Linked DNA regions of Arabidopsis thaliana. The protein of the gene in region 2 interacts with the protein of the main gene of each other region in a pairwise test. Each region holds a gene or a part of one and is shown on either strand. Other genes may lie near its edges.

Evidence for each region. The genes of interacting proteins can lie anywhere in the genome.
Region 1: the proteins of PTR6 (region 2) and AT2G27290 interact in a protein complementation assay, tested with the Arabidopsis thaliana proteins (one large-scale study listed by BioGRID).
Region 3: the proteins of PTR6 (region 2) and AT5G03345 interact in a protein complementation assay, tested with the Arabidopsis thaliana proteins (one large-scale study listed by BioGRID).

The regions. Positions count from the first base shown.
Region 1 is NC_003071.7:11,675,749-11,683,573, reverse strand, and holds AT2G27290 (FAM210B-like protein, putative (DUF1279)), read left to right. Parts: upstream 1-3,654; 5' UTR 3,655-3,808; coding exon 3,809-4,045; intron 4,046-4,531; coding exon 4,532-4,729; intron 4,730-4,817; coding exon 4,818-4,988; 3' UTR 4,989-5,269; downstream 5,270-7,825. Other genes in the region: NTL8 (NTM1-like 8), read left to right, coding at 1,619-1,799, 1,873-2,126, 2,199-2,396, 2,783-3,157; AT2G27285 (nuclear speckle splicing regulatory-like protein (DUF2040)), read left to right, coding at 5,677-5,835, 5,923-6,045, 6,478-6,696, 7,025-7,495.
Region 2 is NC_003070.9:22,980,023-22,988,301, reverse strand, and holds PTR6 (Major facilitator superfamily protein), read left to right. Parts: upstream 1-3,879; 5' UTR 3,880-3,925; coding exon 3,926-4,033; intron 4,034-4,193; coding exon 4,194-4,317; intron 4,318-4,400; coding exon 4,401-4,618; intron 4,619-4,703; coding exon 4,704-6,155; 3' UTR 6,156-6,357; downstream 6,358-8,279. Other genes in the region: AT1G62220 (uncharacterized protein), read right to left, coding at 1-50; AT1G62210 (uncharacterized protein), read right to left, coding at 1,676-2,206; AT1G62190 (Kua-ubiquitin conjugating enzyme hybrid localization domain-containing protein), read right to left, coding at 6,439-7,326.
Region 3 is NC_003076.8:810,725-818,175, reverse strand, and holds AT5G03345 (membrane magnesium transporter-like protein), read right to left. Parts: upstream 4,092-7,451; 5' UTR 3,981-4,091; coding exon 3,904-3,980; intron 3,807-3,903; coding exon of another isoform or gene 3,803-3,806; coding exon 3,754-3,802; intron 3,653-3,753; coding exon 3,461-3,652; 3' UTR 2,869-3,460; intron 2,786-2,868; coding exon of another isoform or gene 2,698-2,785; 3' UTR 2,557-2,697; downstream 1-2,556. Other genes in the region: AT5G03355 (cysteine/histidine-rich C1 domain protein), read right to left, coding at 1-222; AT5G03350 (Legume lectin family protein), read left to right, coding at 1,548-2,372; AtCDC48C (ATPase, AAA-type, CDC48 protein), read left to right, coding at 5,043-5,071, 5,218-5,380, 5,640-5,868, 5,968-7,451. UniProt on the Arabidopsis thaliana protein: Mediates Mg(2+) transport.

The DNA.
Region 1 (7,825 bases), on a different chromosome or scaffold from region 2:
GTTTCCGTTTGTTGCGAACGTGTGTGGGCTTAGGGCCCAATTCAGTTTGTTAGATTAGTAGGGGTTCTTTTCCGGCAGATTAGTGGGTTAGGGATTTATAGACTTGATGGTTTGGGTGAAGAAAAAACACAAATCAGTTTTTATGTTAACCAAACGGCAATATCCACAGGCAAACACACAACACATCTCATATTCATTGCCTGGATTGCAACTATGAGTATAGGTATGATCAAAATTTTGTAACCGCATTTCGAACCGTAACCAGACTGTTACTAAATCTGGTTAAAAACTGTAACCGATAACTGAAAAACAAATTAGTTACTATTAAAAAAAATACTAACCGTTAATTATTAGTAACTGTATCAAAATCGTTGGATAATCGTTGTAATTGTGTATATGCAAAGACAAAATATAGTTGTAATCGTGTATATGCAAAGACAAATATCGAATGTTTGGATAAAAATTGTCAAAAAGGTAAATAATAGATATGAAAAAATCTAAGCTAGAAAATAATAAGATTTTTTCTCAAACAAATATGTTGGAATGCTACATTGCTTGATATGAAGAAAATTTGGTGTACAATATACTTTTTCATCTTATTAAAAGCAATACAATATTTTGGGTAATTCTTAAGATTTCGCCTTCAATATTAACTATATTGTAATCATCAAATAACAATAACCATATATAATCATAATTGTTGTAACCGTAATCATTTTAATCATAGATAGTGGTTAAAGTTAAGGTTAAAAAATTTTATAACTGTAACTGATGGTTAATAAACCGTACCCGTAATAACCGTAACCATAATCATCTTACGTGAACACTAAAATTTATATCCATCACGTTTAGATTAATCACCCATCTTTCGAAGCAAATAAGTTCCAATATGAGCTTAGAGGACATAAAACTAGTTTAGAGAAAGTTACACGGATACAAATTTGGATATATAGTTTAGTTAGGATATGATTTTATTGATTTTATTATATATTTTAAAAATAACTAAAACGTTAATGATGACGTAAGCTAATAAAGTAATAGATTAGAAATTGCAATAAAAAAATATAATGTATTTAATAAAATAGATTCATCGACAAAAAAATAATAAAATAGATTCATATAAAACTTGTATTACACAAAAGAAAATATCTTGGCGCAAGATAATAAAATAATTACAAAGTGATTTAAATTCATTTTGATTGCCGTCAAAAACAAAAATTCATTTTGATAAGTTATTACACCCAAAAAAACAAAAACAAAAACTTATTGGCATGCGGGGTACAAACACCGAGGAAGATATCGAAACACGTGTTTAAAAATGAAGAGACGATTTATTAAGCATCAATGAGAGAACTTCAGAGCTGGGTTTGAGTTCTGTCCAATAATACATAACCACGTTATCATTTTTGTCCTTTACTATCTCATTACACTCTTCTGTTATTCGCCCAATTCTTACAGTCATTGTCCACGTCATCCTTTTTCCCTCTGAAGCCGCCAAATATCAAAAAACACAAAACCTTTACCCGAAGCAAAGTAGCTGCACACTTGCCATTTATAAGGCATGTTTCTTCATCTAAAGCAAAGTATTTTCGAGTTCCTGAGCCAAAAAGATCAAACAATGTCTAAAGAAGCTGAGATGTCGATCGCGGTGTCGGCTTTGTTCCCTGGTTTTAGATTCTCTCCTACTGATGTTGAACTTATCTCGTACTATCTTCGTCGTAAAATCGATGGTGATGAGAACTCTGTTGCTGTGATTGCTGAGGTCGAGATTTACAAGTTCGAGCCGTGGGACTTGCCAGGTTTTACTTCGGTTTTCTTTCTCTTTATGTTTACTTTGGTTCACTAATTTGAATGTTTGTGCCTATAAAACAGAGGAATCGAAACTGAAATCGGAGAACGAGTGGTTTTACTTCTGCGCGAGGGGGAGGAAGTACCCGCACGGGTCACAAAGCCGGCGAGCCACACAGCTAGGATATTGGAAAGCGACCGGTAAAGAGCGGAGTGTTAAATCCGGGAACCAAGTTGTTGGAACCAAGAGAACGCTTGTATTTCATATCGGTCGGGCTCCTCGTGGCGAGAGAACGGAGTGGATTATGCATGAATACTGCATCCATGGAGCCCCACAGGTTCTTAAAACTTTCATTTTGAATAGGTTGAGTTTTAATGTTTTGAGATATATTGAAATTTGGATTTCACAGGATGCATTAGTGGTGTGCCGGTTAAGAAAAAATGCTGATTTTCGGGCTAGTTCGACCCAAAAAATGGAGGATGGTGTTGTGCAAGACGATGGCTACGTTGGCCAAAGAGGTGGTTTGGAGAAGGAGGACAAATCCTACTATGAATCTGAGCATCAGATACCAAATGGTGACATCGCAGAATCATCAAATGTTGTTGAGGTCAGCTTGCTTTTGAGGAATGTGTCTTTTAACGATGTTTAATACTGGTAAAATTATCCGCTCCAATCTTAATCGAAACCACATTAAATTCAATATAGTTCCGAAAACAGAACCGATTAAGAAACTAAAACCAAACCAACACCATAGTACCATACTATAACGGATTCATAGTACATTAGATTTCACTAAAGTTGTTATTTTACTAAAGCAGATTCTAAACTTAAAACGTAACAAACCAATATATCCAATGTTTGGTTTTTATTTTGGCTACTAATATTATAACTCAATAGACTAAACCAACACTTGGGCTGAACATCCTTAGTTTTCTTGTACTGGTAGAGTTTAGAGTTTGTAACTGAAGTTGATCTCTTTCTATTGCGATGCAGGATCAGGCCGATACCGATGATGATTGTTACGCCGAGATTCTGAACGATGATATAATAAAGCTCGACGAAGAAGCGTTGAAAGCTAGCCAAGCGTTTCGACCAACTAATCCAACTCATCAAGAAACAATATCAAGCGAGTCATCGAGTAAGAGGTCAAAATGTGGTATAAAAAAAGAATCAACGGAAACAATGAATTGTTACGCTTTGTTCAGGATCAAGAACGTTGCCGGAACCGACTCCAGCTGGAGATTCCCGAACCCGTTCAAAATCAAGAAAGATGATAGCCAGAGATTGATGAAGAATGTTCTGGCCACTACTGTTTTCTTGGCTATCTTATTTTCTTTCTTTTGGACTGTATTAATAGCTAGGAACTAAAGCTAGTTACGACATACATATTATTTATACATAAATAAATATAGTATTTGGTCTATGGCAATATGGCATGTTGAGCTAGTCTTAACAATTATTCAAACTTGTGTACAAACCAAAATTTTTATGGAAAAGAGAATATTTTCGGATAGTAAACCTTTATAATCTGGGTGAAAGCTTTGGGAAAGAGATGATAGTTCCGTGAAAATAGAGACAACAAATTTCACATATAGTAAATGTGAATAATACCACCATTTCCTTAAGTTTTGCTGTTTGTTGTATTAGAGATTGCAAAGTGATATTCTTAGTTATATACAATTGTAATAAATTATACAAAATCCATAAGTAAAATAAATTATTTTAGACTATGTTTAGATATACAAAAGTTTCAGTTCAAAATATAAACGCCTGAGAATCAAACAAATGTTGTTTGTAGTTTTTTATATTTATAAAATAGTCTAAAAATATTTTTCTTACTTATGGATTTTTTATACTATATTAAAGTTTTATATATGTAAAAGATTACTCTGGAACCTCTAATACAACAAATGGTATACCTTCAGAAAAAAATAAAAAATAATTGTGTGTCATACAATAAATAAAAATAATAAGGTGAAAAGATTTGCTTTCTGTTTTTTTTGGTGGCTGAAAAAAACAATGGCGATGATGCTTCTGCAAATTCCTCCTTCGTCTTCCTTGTTGAACACCAGAAACCTTCAAATCCGATTCTTCCACTCTTCAGTTTCAGCTTCCTCGAAGAAATTCAGATGCAGAGCCGTCCGTGAGAAGGCGGAGGACATTGATAAGAACATTTCGCCGCCGTCTTCTTCTCCTCCTCCTCCTTCCGCCGAAGAAGTTACCAAGAAATATGGCCTTGAAGTTGGTCTATGGAAGGTAAAATCAATTCGATTGCGCAATTTCTCGTTTTAATTCGTAATCTAAAATTGATGATTCTATCGCTATGGAAGCTTTAAGTGTAAGTAAAATAGTGTTTTTGGATGAACATGTGAGGACATATGATTGTTTCTGAGCTGAATGATAGGCTAATTCAGAGCAATTTTGGTATTAGTAGAAGCTATTGAAGCTTTAAGTGTAACTAAAATGGTGTTTTGTATGATTATGTGAGCAATTTTGTAGTTGTTGAAGCTATGGAAGCTTCTAAGGGTACTAAAATGGTGTTTAGATGATTATGTGAGTAGATATGATCGTTTTCGTGGTAGTTGTAGAAGTTATGTAAGCTTTTAACTATGCTAAAATGGTGTTTTTTTTTATCAACAAGTGAGCATATGTGATTGGTTAGTTTGGAGCATTTTTGGAAGTTGTAGAATCTATGGAAGTTTTTGTGTAGTAAAATGGTGTTTTGGATGGACTTGTGATTAGATATTAAGCTCTAAGGATGATGAAGGAAGTGATGGAGACAATAAGAAGAAGAAATCAAAAACAGATGAGGCTAAAGAGTTACTTGCAAAGTATGGTGGTGCTTATCTCGCTACATCTATTACTCTTTCTCTCATTTCCTTCTCACTCTGCTATGTCCTTGTGACTTCCGGTGTTGATGTTCAAGCTCTTCTTCTAAAGGTTACTACTTTCACTTCTTGATCATACTAAGTTTATGTTTTCTTGATCTTGGGTTGAGTAAAGCTGATTTTGATGTTTTGTGTTTAAGGTTGGGATTTCGACGAATGAGACAGGAGAGAAAGTAGGAGCCTTTGCTTTGGCTTACGCAGCGCATAAAGCTGCATCTCCGATAAGGTTTCCGCCTACAGTGGCTTTGACTCCTATTGTAGCCAATTGGATTGGGAAGAAAGTGGACAAGGAGAAGGATGATGACAAGTAGCTTACTTTGGAGGTATTATAATGTAGATGTTCTATATATTACTTGATAATCAACATACATAATCCTGTACAATCCTCACTTCTCTACCTTGTATGTACAAAAAAGATTGAAGCATATCTGAATATGATGATGAGTTAGAAAGATACAGAACCAAAGAGTGGCAGAATCCAAGTTGTGATATAGTTTTAGACTTGTCTATTTAATATGTGGTTGGTTGGAAATTACGACTTCACGATTCACTAACCTCTAGACATTTGGTAAGTGGGAGAAGTAGTTGTCAAATGGTTGGGAATGATCTCTGTGATCCAGAGCATATGACCTCGATCGTTTTGGTGATGCATTTTAACTTGTACTCTAGAACCTCATTATCTCGGCCCATCAAAATATGAAAACATTGGGCCGTAACAATTGGGCCGTAATCATCTATACCATCTATAGTTAATTGGATCTTTTTATCTCCTCCCTTCCTCTTTCACTTTCTTCCATGGATTACTAAATTCCTTAATCCTGGGAAAATCACACCAATCAACTTTTGTGAATTGTAACCCTAATCGATTCTACAGCGAAATCTACCTATTTCATGCTTGGGTTTGATTAGTGTTTTTCCAGAATCTGGGACTTCGCAGGAATTGCGCTAATTTTCAATCGATTTTGCAGAAGTTTGTTGCTCCTGGAATAGAAATCGAAGATGAAGAAGTACGGATTGCAAATCAGAGCTCCTTCCCAGAAAAAACAATCATCATCTCGACCTCCACTTCGACCCGCTTCAATATTTGATGAAGAAGAAGATCACGACGTCGAGAAGGAGATTTCTCGTCAAGCAACAAAGACCAAAGCTCATAAAGAAGTAAGCTTTTTTCCTCCACTGACTCGAGTTCTTGTTTCTTATATTTCCTTCAATTTGATCTGCTTGATAAGTGATTGTGTGTTTTAGATTGAGGAGCAGCATAAGAAAGCCTTAGAGGAGGATCCTTCTGCTTTTTCATATGATGAAGTTTATGATGATATGAAACAGAAAGCTGTTCTTCCTCGAATGCAAGATCGTGAAGAACGCAAGGTAATGTTTATCTCTTAGAGAGCTTAAGACTTGAAGCTTCTGTAGCTTAGGGAATCAAAATCTATGTTTCCATGTTCTTAAGAGGAATCTATGATCTGTGTCGGGCTTGGTTTATCATATGATTGAAGTATAGGAAGCCATAACTTAGCTGGATTTTCTTATTACCCTTAGAAACCACCAAAATCTTGATATCCTGCAATACCCTAACAACTACCAGCCTATAACCCATGGCTACATATAGTTACCAAAAAGTGTAAAGCTTAGTTACTTTGTTTTAGTTAAGTAGAGGTGAAGTTTCTGAGCCTCTACATGCGTCAGTTTTAGTAGTTTCTTATGGTGTTACATTCTCTGTAGTTGGGGCACTTTAATTAGGTTTCAGAATGACTTATTGGATTGCTTATGTTTCATTTAGTTTTCTTTTTCTAATTGCAGCCAAGGTATATACAGAATTTGATGAAACAGGCAGAACGTAGAGAGAAAGAACATGAGATAGTTTATGAGAGAAAGCTTGCGAAAGAGAGGGAGAAAGACGAACATCTTTTTTCGGATAAAGAAAAGTTTGTTACTGGCGCTTATAAAAGGAAACTTGAGGAACAAAAGAAATGGCTGGCAGAAGAAAGATTGCGTGAACTTCGTGAGGAAAGAGATGATGTAAGTTCTGTTTCCTTGTTCATTTTATTTCATGTTTGTGTTTCTATCTCTCTCGTCTATTAAACTAGTACTTGCTAGGATAGCTGAAGTCCTATCTTTGTCCTTTTACGTTTCTGTCTTAAGTAGCTTTGGTTTGGGAACTGTGTCAAGGTAGTTTGCATGTGGTGGCTTTTAGGACATGATGGGTGGGTCTAGAAACCATTTTCATGTCTCTGTATTAGCAATGGGGAGATATATAGCATATAGCTTTGGTAAAATTAAAGTGATTTGTTTTTATAGCTATTAATACTCATGTCAGCTCTTTTCCTTTGTTTTCATCTTCTGTTAGGTTACTAAGAAGAAAGATTTGAGTGATTTCTACTTCAACATTGGAAAAAATGTCGCTTTTGGAGCTCGAGAAGTCGAAGCTAAAGAGGCAGAGAAGCTCGAGGAACAAAGAAAGGCAGAGAAGCTCGAGGAACAAAGAAAGGCAGAGAAGCTCGAGGAGCTGAGAAAAGAAGTAACAAGGGTAGAGAAGAAACGAAAATCACCGGAGAAGGAAGTATCTCCTGACTCGGGAGAATTTGGATCAAGTCGTAGCAAAAGTTTGGAGCCACTAGAAGCAGAGCAAGCAGTTTCTGAAAAGGAGATGGGTTCAGATGGCACTGAAGAGAGAAAGTCATCAATCAAAGAGGCAGCAAAAGAAGTGCCGAAAGCCATTAACGACCAGAAGAGAAGAGAGGATGCGATCGCTGCCGCTAAAGAGAGGTTCCTGGCCCGTAAGAAGGCAAAAATTGAAGAGTATGTGCAACTTGGCTGATTTCAGTCCAATAGTTAAATCTTGGTGAACTTGTCTTCTTCTGATTATCGACCACCCTCTTTTTTATAAGTAACTTTTCAAGATAACGCTTCTTATATTACAGGGTCTACTTCCATTACAAATGCAATAGGTTTGATGGTTAATAAAGAAGAGAACGAACAAAGAAAAATCCCCTACGTTGAGATGCACATTGTCAGGGTCAGTTTAAATGTCCTAGTGGATCAAATTGAATGGTATATAGGAAAAAGTAAAAGTTAGAAAATTGAGGAAAAAGGAAACTTTGAAAGCTAGAATTTGAGGAAAATGGAAACCTTAGAAATTGGGATTTGA
Region 2 (8,279 bases):
GCACACAAAACGCTAATCACGAGAAGCACAACAAACTTTGTGGCATTCATCTTTTGATTGTTTTTATCTTTTGGAATTAAATTGTATGTTTGTGGTGAGTTGTGTTGTGTGCTTCTTCCCAGATCATAGCCATCTATATATACACACAAACTCGATGCACATGTATTTATTAAGGTACGTGAGCATTCTTTATCAAAAGAGATACGTGAGCATTTCTTACAATAAATATACATTCTTAAATTTCATTAGTCAAATTTCAACTAATAGTCATACCAAGATATTTTAACACCTCTCTTGCTCAAGATCAATCGCATGTTTATATGGATATATTTTGGTAGACGAAAAATATTATTTTGAATTAACATGAATGTAGATTTTGATACCAATATAGTTAAATGCTTTATGCTTATAACGTACGAGTTAACTCACCGTGAGGCAGGTCGAAGATGTGTCCAAGGAGACCAAATTAGGAACCTCTCTTCCAAAAACTACTACCAAAGGCATTGGAGCTCAGCTTTCTGCTTATGGCACAACTGACAGCACCTCTTACGTCTCTAGCTATACTAGTGGTTTTAACAATCCCAAAGGTCCAGGGGCCAATGCAACGAAGGTTGCTCCACATATACTAACGGACAAGTCATTGCCAAGGGTCGCAAGGCAAAAGTTTCTTCTAAAAGTGGTTCTTACGCTAAAGGAAATGCGTCAGCTGCAGTGAACCGGAAAGCTGCTGCTGCACGTGCAAAAGGTACAGTAGGTTCCGGCTCCATTGTGAACGGCACTTCCTCTGAGAAGAAAGGCCGCAAAGGGAACAAGAATTGAGCGGGAGGTGCTCTCATGCATATTGCTGATCAATCCTATTAATAATATCCTTAAAACTACAATCTCACAATCTCTTTTGTGTTCATAAATAAAATCACCTCTAAATATTACTATGAAATGCTACTCTTTTGTCTGTAATGGCTTTATTTAAAACATATAATAAATGCATTATTTATGATCTTATATTAATTTTCTTCAGTATTAAAAAATATTTTTATTAGACTCCAACGTCATCTCTTGGTATGCTAAACATTATCTTCGAGACTTGAACATGTGGTTCTTGGTGCATTATATTGGTTAATGGTTATTCAAGCGTATTCAAGTTCCTCGTAATTTAGAAATTCTCCGACCATTAAGTTCGTCGGAAACAAAATGTTTTCTTGTAGAATCCCCTGTTCTCACTTTCCACACAGAATTTTTTCGAGCAATTTAAGTTAGCAACTTCATGAAGTTCTTTAAACCTAGAGATAACGTTTTTTTACACTCGAGAATTTCCTGAATATGGTAAATTCAAATGACAAAATCTTATAAATTGATAGAAATCTACAACAACAAAAGGGCGCCCGGTCCAAGTTTCTTGTACCAAAGCTATTGACACAAGTTCTAATAAAAAATCCTACAAAAGACAAAATATGGAAATATTTATTGATATTTGATTTACACATAAGACTTTAAACCTTTGCGGGGTATCGGGTAGCCAACTCTTTTTATAATGTTGAAAATTAAAATGAAGAAATAGAAAGTCACAATCTCTAAATTATTTGTTTTGTCATACAAAAGAGATTAATGTGACTTTGTAGAGAATATTTATACGTACATATAAGCCTAAGCATGATCACTTACGCTTTATAATGTTTCAAGGCTTTGCACCACTCCCACCGTTGCTACCATCTTCACTCACCTTTGCATTGATGACAAATCTCGTTTCAAAGTTTTTAGTAGTAAAAAGAACTTCGCTTTGTACGTTGGTACCGACTCCCATAACGGAAACACTAGGTTTTCCAGTGTTGTTAGTGGCAAGAGTTGCTTCACCTTCACGTAGAGGAGCTGGTCTTAAAACGCCATTAAGAGGAGCTTTGGTGCCAATAGTGGCTCCACTTTCTTTGATGGGAGAAACTCCTACAATGACACCAATAACAGGAGTTTTAGTGCCATTAGTGGATCCGCCTTCTGTTACATGAGACGGAGCAACTCCTCTAATGCCACCACTAAGAGGAGCTTTGGTGCCATTTGTGGCTCCACCAGTAACATTGTTAGTAGAGTTTCCAATTGGCTGTTTTTTATTCATGAGTTTGGTATTATTGGCCATTCCTCCGATCTTACGTGCTCCAACATTACCACTCAAAGCTGCAATGAATACCACCACAAGTAACTTGATGATATTCATCGTTTTTGGCTCTAATTTTTTTTTATAATCTAAGATAATATTTTGTTTGTGTAGCTTTGAGATTGTGTTCCTAATATCATTCCCACATGTATATAAATAATGTGTATTTTGTACTTACTTAGAGAGAAATACATAGATGTGAAGAGAGTTTTATACGTTTTAATAATCATTCATTATCTTATAGTGACAAATAATGACTCTTCTTCGCTTCATTGAAATTTCAGAGATGCAATGTCCACAAGAATCATGCACACTTGAGCCGTTTAACGTGTGTTGATTCAGATGGATGACTATGCGAAAGTATAGCTACAAAATCACCTAACAGTCAAAATTTAAAATAATTTTCCAACATAAATGTTTCGTATCGTGGAAAGTATAACTTTCTTTTAAAACAAAGACGGTGATTGCATTAACTCGTACCAAATCAATACCATGGGCAACTTAGAGCATGTCCAACGGTTAAGGCCCTAAAAATTTCTAAAAAGACAAAAAAATAGATTTTATTTTAATAGTTATAATCTATTTTTTTAATACAGATAGACCAGTAATAAAAATACATGTGTTATTTTGTTTGTGAGCTCGTCCCTTACTTACGGGTTTTAAGAGTTTCTCTCTCATGTTCCTACTAACTTTTGATTATTTTTTACTTTTTTTATTGTTAGGGCCTCACCTAAAAGCCTCCGGTTGGGGATGGTCTTTAATGCATTAACTTTCAAATCAATATGGGATTGCATTCACTTTCTTTTTGGGTCTTCAAAAAGTTCAAAAACCTCAAGTAATTTCCCTACTTAAATTATCCTTAAAATCTGAAAAAAGAGATTAATCAACTTCTTAAATTCTTCTTATGGTTTTGGTTTACTTTTACTTTTTTTGGCATATGATTTATTTATTAACATTGAAAATAAAATAAAAACAACTTAAAAAGTTGGGTTTAAGTTTTTTTTTGAGCTTTAACACTTGAAGAATGAAATCATAAGACTTTTAAGTTATAAAATCGAATATGGACTTAAATATATCCGGATATCCGTTATCCGGTTCAAATTCTCGGATTATTCGTATCTATATCTTTATTCGGACTATCCGTCGTTTTACTATCTGCATATGTTGGCCGGCTATCCGTTTGTTTGGATAAAAATCCGTGGTAAAATATATTAACCTCATGCGTACTTTGGTCTACTAATAATTAGACTATAAATATTATTCTAATTTTTTGGTGTGTTATTATTGGAGTTGTCTCCTACCAAACAAAAATGCGAAAAGAGTCAATTTTGAATTTTGATCATTTTGATAAAAAGTAAAAGAATCGTTTTATTAAATATTTTTAAATGATCTTTTTTTTTCAAAATCAATCAAACCCGTTATATCTAGATATCTATTAACCGGCCTAAATTCTAGGATTATTTGTATCCGTCGTTTAACTATTCGTATATCTGGCCGGCTATCCGTTTGTTTGGTTCAAAAACCGGATACGGATATCCACGGTTTAAATAGATTAACCTCATGCCTACCTACTTTTGGTATTCTAATAATTAGACTATTCTAATTTTCTGGTGTGCTATTGTTGGAGTTGTCTCCTAAAAAAAATGCAAAGAAGAGTCAATTTTGATCATTTAAAAATATTTAATAAAAACAATTCCTTTAGTTTAATTGGTATACTGGGCCATCAATGGGACCGACCACCAAGAGTTGTGCAAGCAATCGGATTATTTAGCGTTTTTGATGAGTTCCAGTAATCTATTTGCTTTTCTCAATAGCTTTAAAATGGTGAATTCGAATGAAGAAGACGAAAGGAGAATTCTTGACGTTGAAGAATCTCTTCTTACACAGGTTTCGACTTAAATCTATCAATTTGCGTTTGCCAATTTCTCTCCATTTATTTACCCCTTGACATCTTTCTAATTATAGCTATACTTTCAATTTTTAGAATCCACTATGTTCAAGATTCTAACCACAAAAATCCAATCTTTTTTTTGTCTGAATATCTCAGGAGGAAGTGAACAATCACTTGACCGGATTGTCTTCTACAGCTGAAGATGGTTCTATTGACATTTATGGAAACCCACCATCGAAGAAGAAGACAGGAAACTGGAAAGCTTGTCCCTTTATTCTTGGTAAACAAAAAAAAAAGATAAAAAAAAAATTCTTGTTTTATCAGTACTTATATATAACCTCCAAATTTGGTCTCAATGTACAGGAAACGAATGTTGTGAGAGATTAGCTTACTATGGAATTGCCAAGAATCTAATCACTTACTACACAAGTGAATTACACGAGTCCAATGTTTCTGCAGCTAGTGACGTTATGATTTGGCAAGGAACTTGCTATATCACACCTCTCATTGGAGCTGTTATAGCTGATTCTTACTGGGGAAGATACTGGACCATTGCTTCTTTCTCTGCTATTTATTTCATTGTAAGACTAATCAATCTCTTTGGATACTTGCATTTGTTTGTTTAGGTGATTTGCATAGTTAGTTAATCTTGGTTTTTGAATTTAGGGAATGGCTTTGTTGACACTCTCGGCTTCACTTCCGGTTTTAAAGCCAGCGGCATGTGCTGGCGTTGCTGCGGCTCTATGCTCACCAGCAACAACGGTTCAGTATGCGGTTTTCTTTACAGGGCTTTACCTTATTGCTCTTGGTACTGGAGGTATCAAACCATGTGTATCATCTTTTGGTGCTGATCAGTTTGATGATACTGACCCGAGGGAACGAGTTAGAAAAGCTTCTTTCTTTAACTGGTTTTACTTCTCCATCAACATTGGTTCATTTATCTCATCCACTTTGTTAGTTTGGGTTCAAGAAAATGTCGGGTGGGGACTCGGTTTCTTGATTCCCACCGTGTTTATGGGAGTCTCTATTGCGAGTTTCTTCATTGGAACTCCGCTTTATCGGTTTCAGAAACCGGGAGGTAGTCCGATTACTAGAGTTTGCCAAGTTCTTGTAGCTGCATACCGTAAATTGAAGCTTAATCTCCCTGAAGATATCTCATTTCTGTATGAAACACGAGAGAAAAACTCCATGATTGCTGGAAGCAGGAAGATTCAACACACTGACGGTTACAAGAAAATACCTGTCCCCTTTCAGTTTCTCATTTTGAGCTTTTGGAAATGTTCATCGGAACATAAACCTTTGTTTTTATATCTGTGCAGGTTTCTTGACAAAGCTGCTGTTATCTCAGAATATGAATCTAAATCCGGTGCTTTTTCCAACCCATGGAAGCTATGTACTGTAACTCAAGTCGAAGAAGTTAAGACTCTAATCCGTATGTTTCCAATCTGGGCCTCGGGGATCGTCTACTCGGTCCTATATTCACAGATTTCCACTCTATTCGTGCAACAAGGACGGTCCATGAACCGAATAATCCGTTCTTTCGAGATCCCTCCTGCTTCATTCGGGGTTTTCGACACACTTATCGTGCTCATATCCATCCCAATATATGACCGTTTCCTCGTACCCTTTGTAAGACGGTTCACAGGGATACCAAAAGGGTTAACTGATCTGCAGCGAATGGGCATTGGTCTTTTTCTCTCTGTCCTAAGCATTGCAGCTGCAGCTATTGTTGAGACAGTGCGGTTGCAGCTTGCTCAAGACTTTGTTGCAATGAGCATATTTTGGCAGATCCCTCAGTACATACTAATGGGAATAGCAGAGGTCTTTTTCTTCATTGGTCGAGTTGAGTTTTTCTATGATGAATCTCCTGATGCAATGAGAAGTGTATGCAGCGCTTTGGCACTACTCAATACCGCAGTCGGAAGCTACCTGAGCTCGTTGATCCTCACTCTTGTGGCGTATTTCACAGCTCTTGGAGGTAAAGATGGTTGGGTTCCAGACGACCTTAATAAAGGACATCTTGACTACTTCTTCTGGCTTTTGGTCTCTCTTGGACTTGTCAACATTCCTGTTTATGCCTTGATTTGTGTTAAGCACACAAAGAAGAAGGCTTTGTAAGCTATTTTTGTAACAAGCTATGTTGTTTTGGTTCATCATATTCATGGTATACTCTGTATATTGTAATCTGTACTAGTAGATTTTCTTAAAAATATGAATAATGTTTCCGCCATGTAAAAAGAGACTAGAAAGGTTATTTGTAAAAAGTAGTAGTTCAGGTTATTGAAGTTTGCATGCTTACGAAAGATCATCAACAATGGAGGTTTAATCAGCTTACAAGATCTGATACTTAAACCTAATACATGCTCTTTATTCGACACACTCATACATATTCAGATATTCTTTAAATCTTTGTAAAGAAATTAGTCTCGGTTTCTTCTGTCCAGTCAGAGTTTGGCTCGTTCCACGAGTTTGGTCTCACACCGAACTGGAAAAACAACGCCATCTCCAATGCCTTAAATAAGTTACTTTCGTCCAAAACTTTGTTCCATGCCCCACTCACTACACAGTAGTTGCTGTTATACGGTGCTTGGTGATGTCCCGGGTGATCTTTCCGTGAGACAAGCAGTCCCATGTCCTGCAACGCCATCACGAGAGGTGGAAGCTTGCTCTTGGTTCCATGAGCCCAAGCATGGAATTGTTGGCTTAACAAAATGCAAAATGCAAATGTGCTCACAAAGCTATGAAACAGAGGATTGTTAATTGCAAGGTTTAGTGGTAGAACTATAAAAGTTATGGCTCGAGCGATAGTGTATGAATTGTTGGCGAATTGACGTTTTGTGATTGTCCAGGGATACTTGTGATGACCCTGAGACGCTTCAAGTTGGGCTCCAACTATAGGTGTTGATGCACCACCATAGTTATCAATGGCCCAGTGGTAAACACCGGAGCCTAGATCAGCAAACACGTACCCTGCATAACACGCTAAAGCTGGTTGGAGCCAAAGATGAGAACCAAACCCTCCAATGATAGATTTAGCGAAAGAGGCAAATATGGTTGTACTTCCCGCTGCAACCCATAACCGATGAGTCCATGTCGATTGCAGAGTCGGGTCGTTGTTCTTGGAAAGAGGAGGATTCACAAGGCGTTTCTCAACTACAAGGTTCTCATGATTAAGCTGAGGATTGGTGGTAGTAACAGAGCATGTGACACGTACACGCGTTGGACCATAGCTTCTTGGGATGTTGGTGATGGGTCTTAGAGGGTTCTTGGTTTGAAATGATACAGCCATTGAGAGAGATTAGAGGTCAAAGATATCAAAATTATTGTTTTTGGCAAAGATAGATGAAGCGATCACGATATATAGTGGCAGAGATAAACCAGAGTTATATTGTAGCATGTGGCCATGTGGGTACGTCAGAGATTTATGGGGGGGAAATTATGATCAAATACATCATATAACAATAATTTATCTATCAAAATGTTTGTGGGCGTGATATTGTGATCTAATATATCAATTTCAAGAATCAACGTATCGAATCGTATTAATTGTGTATCGAATCGCAATAACTGATGTTGTACTTTGTAAGAAAGACGAATAACAGAAAATCAGTTATACTAAATCATTAAAGAGCAAACAACAATGGAGGTTAGTAGGTTACTTGTAGCTCGCGAAACTGGAATTGGTTGACCAGACAAACCTTTTTTCTTCTTTTTTGGATAAATGTTTTCTTTAATTAACAAATTACATGCCTAACGGGCCTAGTGATTTAGAGTAGTTTTGGGGGTAGAATGTTTGGGCTGTAGTGTAGAGCAACGAAAGTTAAGGAACTATTTTATGGGGGTGGCTAATTTAAATACCAATAATATTTGGGCCATAGTGTAGAGAAACGAAAATTAGGGGAGATTATTAGTTCATGATCCAGAGTCTCCAGACTCTTTCTTCTACGGAGGCCATTTGAAAATGTATGGATCTCGTTTAATGAAAATGGGCCATAAACTTGATGACTTTATTTGTTGCCCTAGAAATTTACTAAAGGTTTTAAAATTTAAATGGTGTCAATTTAGAACAAGGTCTACTAGATAGGCAAATTTTACCATATTAATTCCTAAATCGACATATGAAAAAATCGTAAATAAAAGATGTTCATATATATATTGCCTAATAAATTGAAAATTCGGTGATATGCTATTTTACATAATAGTATTGAAATCACTTAATATATTCTCAACTATTCTTAGTGG
Region 3 (7,451 bases), on a different chromosome or scaffold from region 2:
CATAGTGTTGAAGAGAGCTATGGTTTGAGTAGTGAGTGACATGAGTTTGGTCTCCGGTTTTGGTAGCGAGTCCAAATCCATAGAGCTGAGGAGATCGATTATGCGACTAGTGACTAATACGACATAACTCGTTGCTTCATCCGAAATCCAAAAGAGAGGATCGACGAAAGACACTAGTTGACTAATGCGTAATAAGAGCTCCGTCTGCTGCTCCGAATCCATAGCGTTCGCCGATAGAGAGTTTATCTGAGTAATTAAGCGAGAGATTTGAATGATTTTGGTATGTTTGCTGCTCTCTCTATATTGGTATATGTTTATCTAACCAAACAATGTATAATCATGTATACAGGCTATCCACTCTCCATCCCATATTACAGGCTGTTCGAATACAAATTCAACGGTCAACTTTTAGAGATTAAAAAAATAAAGTGTGACAAGACAATCTCAAGCTGTCCGTAGCTTGCGGATCGTGCCTAAGAGTTTTTCTTAGACTAATAATGAAGTTAATGAGGGTTACATTGGCGTTGGCCTATGCAACTTGCACCTTTTTCTATATTAAGTTGTGGGCCACAACGACTCATGGGCCATATTTAAAGCCTCAACTACACTGCTCAATCCGTTTTTGCTCCTTTTTGCAAAAGAACCCTCCATTTTCTATTTTTTATTGTAAGTTCACAATATTTATTTGTTGAGAAAATATGAACCTTTGATCTCTCTAAAAAATTTGAACTTTTTAACCAATTGTGCAAGTATTTTTGGGTTAAACTACAATATTACGATTACTATTTAAAAATCGTTCAAACGAAAAATCAGAGATCGATTTACTAAGAAATCAATGGTAAGATTGTTGAACATTTCATATGTGTGATAAACTGATGAGAATTTGGGATGCAAAGCAAATTACTTTTTCCTGAGTGAATTTTCTTTGAAAATATCTCTCGTAGAAAAATAAACAGCAATCGATCTTTGCATTGCATTGGTCCTTTTCTAGACCAATTACACCGAAGAAACACAAGGTTGTCTATGTTCCTCTTCAATACTCTCTAAGTAAATTTCTATACGACGTAGTGTTGTCTATGTGGTGGGTAAAGAATTAAAGAACCCACTAGATTTTCCTTATCCTTTTGACGTAGTGTTTTCTATTCATTCATCCACATAATGATACCGTATACTATGCTTTCACATCGCAAAAGACAAGTACAATCTAATATACGAGATATGCGTACACTGTACACATACTCTGCTGAATGAGTGTATTCACAACAGTGTCTTCACGCGTTTACTTGACAAAATGTCATGTGCTGATGTGACCATTCGATGATTTTGTTTTAATTTTTTTTTCTTTCCATTATTAACAATCACGTTTTTTATTGGTCGAGTTCAATTTATGGAAAGGATAAGGAAATCTTGTAGGTGATGCGTTTACTTGACATCATACAATATGACGTCATGTACATGGGCTTATGTTTTACTCTTTATAAATCACCACGTTAATAATTTCACTCTTTCAAACTCTCACTTGAGTAAACAGCAGTTACGAAAACGCAATGAAGATTCATAAACTCTGTTTTCTTGCTCTGCTCTTAGCTCACACCACTTCCGCCGTCAACCTCAACCTCAACCTCAAAACCTCAGAGTTGGTCTTCCTTGGAGACGCTGAGCTCGGTCCTGCTTCTGATGGCGTCAGCCGCTCCGGAGCTCTCTCCATGACACGAGACGAGAACCCATTCTCTCACGGCCAAAGTCTTTGGTCCACTCCAGTCCCTTTCAAGCCTTCTTCAAACTCTTCTTCTCCTTATCCATTTGAAACTTCTTTCACTTTCTCCATCTCTACTCGCATCAAACCCGCCCCTGGTCACGGCCTTGCTTTTGTTGTCGTCCCTTCCATTGAAAGTGACGGTCCTGGACCCGCTGGATACCTCGGGATATTCAACAAAACCAACAATGGCAACCCCAAAAACCACATCTTTGCTGTCGAATTCGACGTTTTTCAGGACAAAGGTTTTGGAGACATTAATGATAACCATGTCGGGATTAATATCAACTCTGTTACTTCCGTTGTTGCTGAGAAAGCTGGTTATTGGGTTCAGACAGGAATTGGGAAAATGAAACACTGGTCGTTTAAAGAGTTCAAGCTGAGTAATGGAGAGAGGTACAAGGCTTGGATTGAGTATAGAAACTCCAAGGTTACAGTTACTCTCGCGCCAGAAACCGTTAAGAAACCTAAGAAGCCTTTGATCGTTGCCCATTTAGATCTCTCTAAGGTTTTTCTTCAAAATATGTACCCCGGTTTTTCTGGTGCCATGGGCCGTGGCGTTGAACGTCATGACATTTGGAGTTGGACCTTCCAGAACAGTGCCAAGAGAATCTAAACCGGTTCTGTTCGGTTATGCTTTTTCTAATGTATCAGAAAGTTGTAACCGGAATGAATAAAATAGCAAATTTTGTTGTTTTAATTGTTTGTATTTGACTATTTACACAGTATCCTATCCTGCTAGGACCTGTGCACTTGTTGTTATGTTGATTCTTCATTCTAAAAGATTCTAAGTAGAGACCTGACACACAGAAACATCACAAGACTCGTTTCAAGAATCAAAAATTGATGCAAAGCAGAGTAGTTACTTAGAGTAGAATTTCAATGGAAACATCTCATAACATTACACAGATCAGTGTTTGACTAAGCAGTGTGATAAAAATTCAAAACTTCATGTCGATCTGCGGTGGGAACAGTCTGCCACGGTGATTGAATATCATGAAATCCGAATTATCTGGTAAAAACACCGCCCTGCAAATTTTTTGAAAGAAACCAGTTAACAGGAGATATTCACTTTATCTAGCAAAAGCCAAACTCAAAACCAATTCAAGAACCTAATGTACAAAAAGGTAGGGGAGAGGCTGCGACATAGAAGGAACCAAAGTGGGTCTAAAGAGCCAATGAAACAAATATAAACTGATTGAATTAGCCAGGAGCAGAACTGGTTAAAGCTCTTGAAACCCATAATCGTAACTGGACCAAATATAAACTAGAAAATGTCCCTTTGAATGTCCTGCATTTTAGAAAACCTTAGCTGCACAAAGTATTAAAGAAACATCAATGTTTGACCTAGAACATCTCTAGACGACAGTTTCTTATCAATAAACATGAGTCTTTGGTGGTCATTCAATCATCGGGAAATATAATAACTACCAAATTTCCATGTTTCAGATTGATAAACACTGATGCACAACAGAGAGTTAAAGAGACATCAAAACTAGACCCTCGAAACATCTCTAGAGCACAAGTTCTTTGAATCAATTGATTAACAACACATCCGTAAACCTTCTCAGTCAAAAGAAAACATATTCACTAGAAACACCCATGATTAAACTGAATAATTGAACCAAATCTAGCCAGAAGATGCTTCTATAAGACCCGTAGTAACTCTACACCAAGTTCAACAAAGTACGAACAGAGAAAAATTCAATAGTAAAAACACTCACTAGATAACATGAATTCAGATTGATTAACACTGATGCAAAACAGAGAGTTCGAGAGAAACATGATCACAAACCTGTTTTCATCAGAATCCGGATGGATCGAGAGAAATTTACCAGGGAAAGTCAAAGCAGCCCACATACACAGAGCTAGTCCAATGATCAACTCCAGAATAACCTTAAATAAATCCAATCATGATTCATATAAAAGCATAATCATTGCTGATATAATTCAAACACAATTGAGGAAAAGAGAAACCGTTATCATTATATACTCACATTAATCGGTGGTCGAGAAAACTCTTCCTCCATAATCTTCAACAATCCTCTATCTGAAATAAACAAGAGAAACCCAAATCAAGATCCTATCTCGAAAATTAAAGTAGATCTGACTCAATTGGAACTGGAATTGGATTGGGAAGAGTAGACATACATTGGATTGTTGAATAAGCGGCATGAGAAAGAATAAGAACGCCGAAAACTCCAACTAAGAACCCCAAATTCATCTTTAGAAGTTCTCTTTTTTAATTTTCTTCTTCTCTAAGTTGATTCCCGATCTGGATTTTCTCGTCGAGTATTCTCCGTCGAGAATCGAACTAGAATAGAAGACGATCAGTGGAGTTTAAAACGGCATGTAGTTATAATATCGCAAATCTCAAAGTGAAAACGGCGCAACGTCTAATATCGAAGAGACTAACAACGGCGCGTAGTTCTAGATTGATGATATCCTAGATTCCTATTAATCTTTTGTAACCCAAACTTTTTTTTAAGTAACTAATATTTTTAATTAGATGAAAGTTCAGTTAGTTTGATAACTTTTTTACAACAATAAGGGTTTATCTTTTGGGAAAATAATTATTTTTTCGTATAATAAATAATTATGAATATTTATTTAGAATTTCATATTGATGATATATTCATATGCAAACAAAAATTTCTGCAATTATTGAATTGAATCGTATGTTGATAACTTCGTATAAAAAAAACGGAAATCTATTTTAGAACAAAGAAATCAAATGGTAAGATATTAAATTTCTATTTATAAAAAAGTAAGAAAAACATGTAGCTTGCTTTGGTACCGCTACCTAAGAACCTTCTATTCCTTTCTTGTGTTTGCTAAAACCAGAAAGTAAAACTGTTATCCTCACCTCTCTTTTACTTTTATTTTCAACTTTCCCCCATAACGTTTTTAATAAACATTTACGTACCCTCGCCACACTATTAAAATAAGTTTAAAATTACATCAAATTTTTTAATTCTTCATATAGGTAGATTTTTGTTTTGATTCTCGATAAATCATATAATAATATAAATTAATTGATATGATGTTAAGGGAACATGGGTGTATTTATCACAACACCTAGTTTTTGGAACTTTTCAAGATAAACTTAAAAGTTAAGGGTCGCTTATTTTTCCAACAAGAAGGAAATCACAGAGCGTATAAAATCCCGAGTTCAGCTCCCTTGAGATCCCATTCATCATCATCATCATCATCACCAATCGATCTCTCTAGAAACAAATTTCCCAACTTCCTTCTTAGAGCTCTCTTGTCAGTTTAAGCTATCATTATGTCAAACGAACCGGAATCCTCCGACTCGTAAGTACTTAGATCTTTGATTTTTGTTTTCCGATCATAAAGTTTCGATTTTTTTACTTGGGTTTTTCGATATTGAGAATAGGGTTTTTTAGTTTGATCTCATCTGAAAGCTGATTTTGTTTGTCTTCCTGGGGTATTTGTTTCAGGAAAACTAAGAAGGATTTCAGTACTGCGATTCTAGAGAGGAAGAAGTCTCCAAACCGACTTGTTGTCGATGAAGCTATTAACGATGACAACTCTGTTGTCTCTCTCCATCCTACTACCATGGAAAAACTCCAGCTTTTCCGAGGCGATACAATTCTCATCAAGGTTAGGTTTTGTTCCTTATGTCACTATGTTAGGGTGTTTTGAGTTTAGACTTGGTTTGGATCGTCTGTGTCTTGACTGTATATCACGAGCATGTTGTAAACATATTCAGTTATGTTTTTTACTTTGTCTGATCTTGTAAACATATTCAGTTAGGGTACAACTTTTTTGTCTGAAGTTTTTTTTTTTGAGTTTAGAATTGGTTTGGATTGTTCTTTTTATCTCTGTGATTACTTACTTGATTGGGGTTTTGGATTTTCAGGGTAAGAAGAGGAAGGACACTGTATGCATTGCCCTCGCTGATGAAACATGTGAGGAACCCAAGATCAGAATGAATAAGGTTGTAAGGTCTAACTTGAGGGTTAGGCTGGGAGATGTTATTTCTGTTCACCAATGCCCAGATGTCAAGTATGGAAAGCGTGTTCACATCTTGCCTGTTGATGATACAGTTGAAGGCGTTACTGGAAACCTCTTTGATGCTTACCTGAAACGTAAGTTTGCTTTAATCTTTTGATTCTCTCTTTCATATCATAGTCTAGCTTGTCTTTTGGAGTTCGTGTTTTCTAAACTTATATTGTTTTTTTCACCAGCTTACTTTCTGGAGGCGTACCGTCCAGTGAGGAAGGGAGATCTTTTCCTAGTGAGAGGAGGAATGAGGAGTGTGGAGTTCAAAGTGATCGAGACTGATCCTGCTGAGTACTGTGTGGTGGCTCCAGATACAGAGATTTTCTGTGAGGGTGAACCAGTTAAGAGGGAGGACGAAGAAAGGCTTGATGAGGTTGGTTATGACGATGTTGGTGGTGTCAGGAAACAGATGGCTCAGATTAGGGAATTGGTTGAACTTCCCTTGAGGCATCCACAACTCTTTAAATCAATTGGTGTGAAGCCACCAAAGGGAATTCTGCTTTACGGACCTCCTGGATCCGGGAAGACTCTTATTGCTCGTGCTGTGGCTAATGAAACCGGAGCATTCTTCTTCTGTATCAATGGACCGGAAATCATGTCGAAACTAGCTGGTGAGAGTGAGAGCAACCTCAGGAAAGCATTTGAGGAGGCTGAGAAGAATGCCCCGTCTATCATATTCATTGATGAGATTGACTCTATTGCACCAAAAAGAGAGAAGACGAATGGTGAGGTTGAGAGGAGGATTGTCTCTCAGCTCCTTACGCTTATGGATGGACTAAAATCACGTGCCCATGTTATTGTTATGGGAGCAACAAATCGTCCCAACAGTATTGATCCGGCTTTGAGAAGGTTTGGAAGATTCGACAGGGAAATTGATATCGGTGTTCCTGATGAAATTGGACGTCTTGAAGTTCTTAGGATCCACACGAAGAACATGAAGCTAGCTGAAGATGTTGATCTAGAAAGAATCTCCAAGGACACGCATGGATATGTTGGAGCTGATCTTGCAGCTCTATGCACTGAAGCTGCCCTTCAATGTATCAGAGAGAAGATGGATGTGATTGACTTGGAAGATGACTCAATTGACGCCGAAATCCTCAATTCCATGGCTGTGTCTAATGAACACTTCCACACTGCTCTTGGAAACAGCAACCCATCCGCCCTTCGTGAAACTGTTGTGGAGGTTCCAAATGTCTCCTGGGAGGATATTGGAGGTCTCGAGAATGTTAAGAGAGAGCTTCAGGAGACTGTTCAATACCCTGTGGAGCATCCAGAGAAATTCGAGAAGTTTGGTATGTCTCCATCAAAGGGAGTTCTTTTCTACGGTCCTCCTGGATGTGGTAAAACCCTGTTAGCCAAAGCTATAGCAAACGAGTGCCAAGCAAACTTCATCAGTGTCAAGGGACCCGAGCTTCTCACAATGTGGTTTGGAGAAAGTGAAGCCAACGTCCGAGAAATCTTTGACAAGGCTCGTCAATCTGCTCCTTGTGTTCTGTTTTTCGATGAGCTAGACTCCATTGCTACTCAGAGAGGGAACAGCGCGGGTGATGCCGGCGGTGCAGCTGACAGAGTGTTGAATCAGCTTTTGACAGAAATGGATGGAATGAATGCAAAGAAGACGGTATTCATTATTGGAGCAACTAACAGACCGGATATCATAGATTCAGCT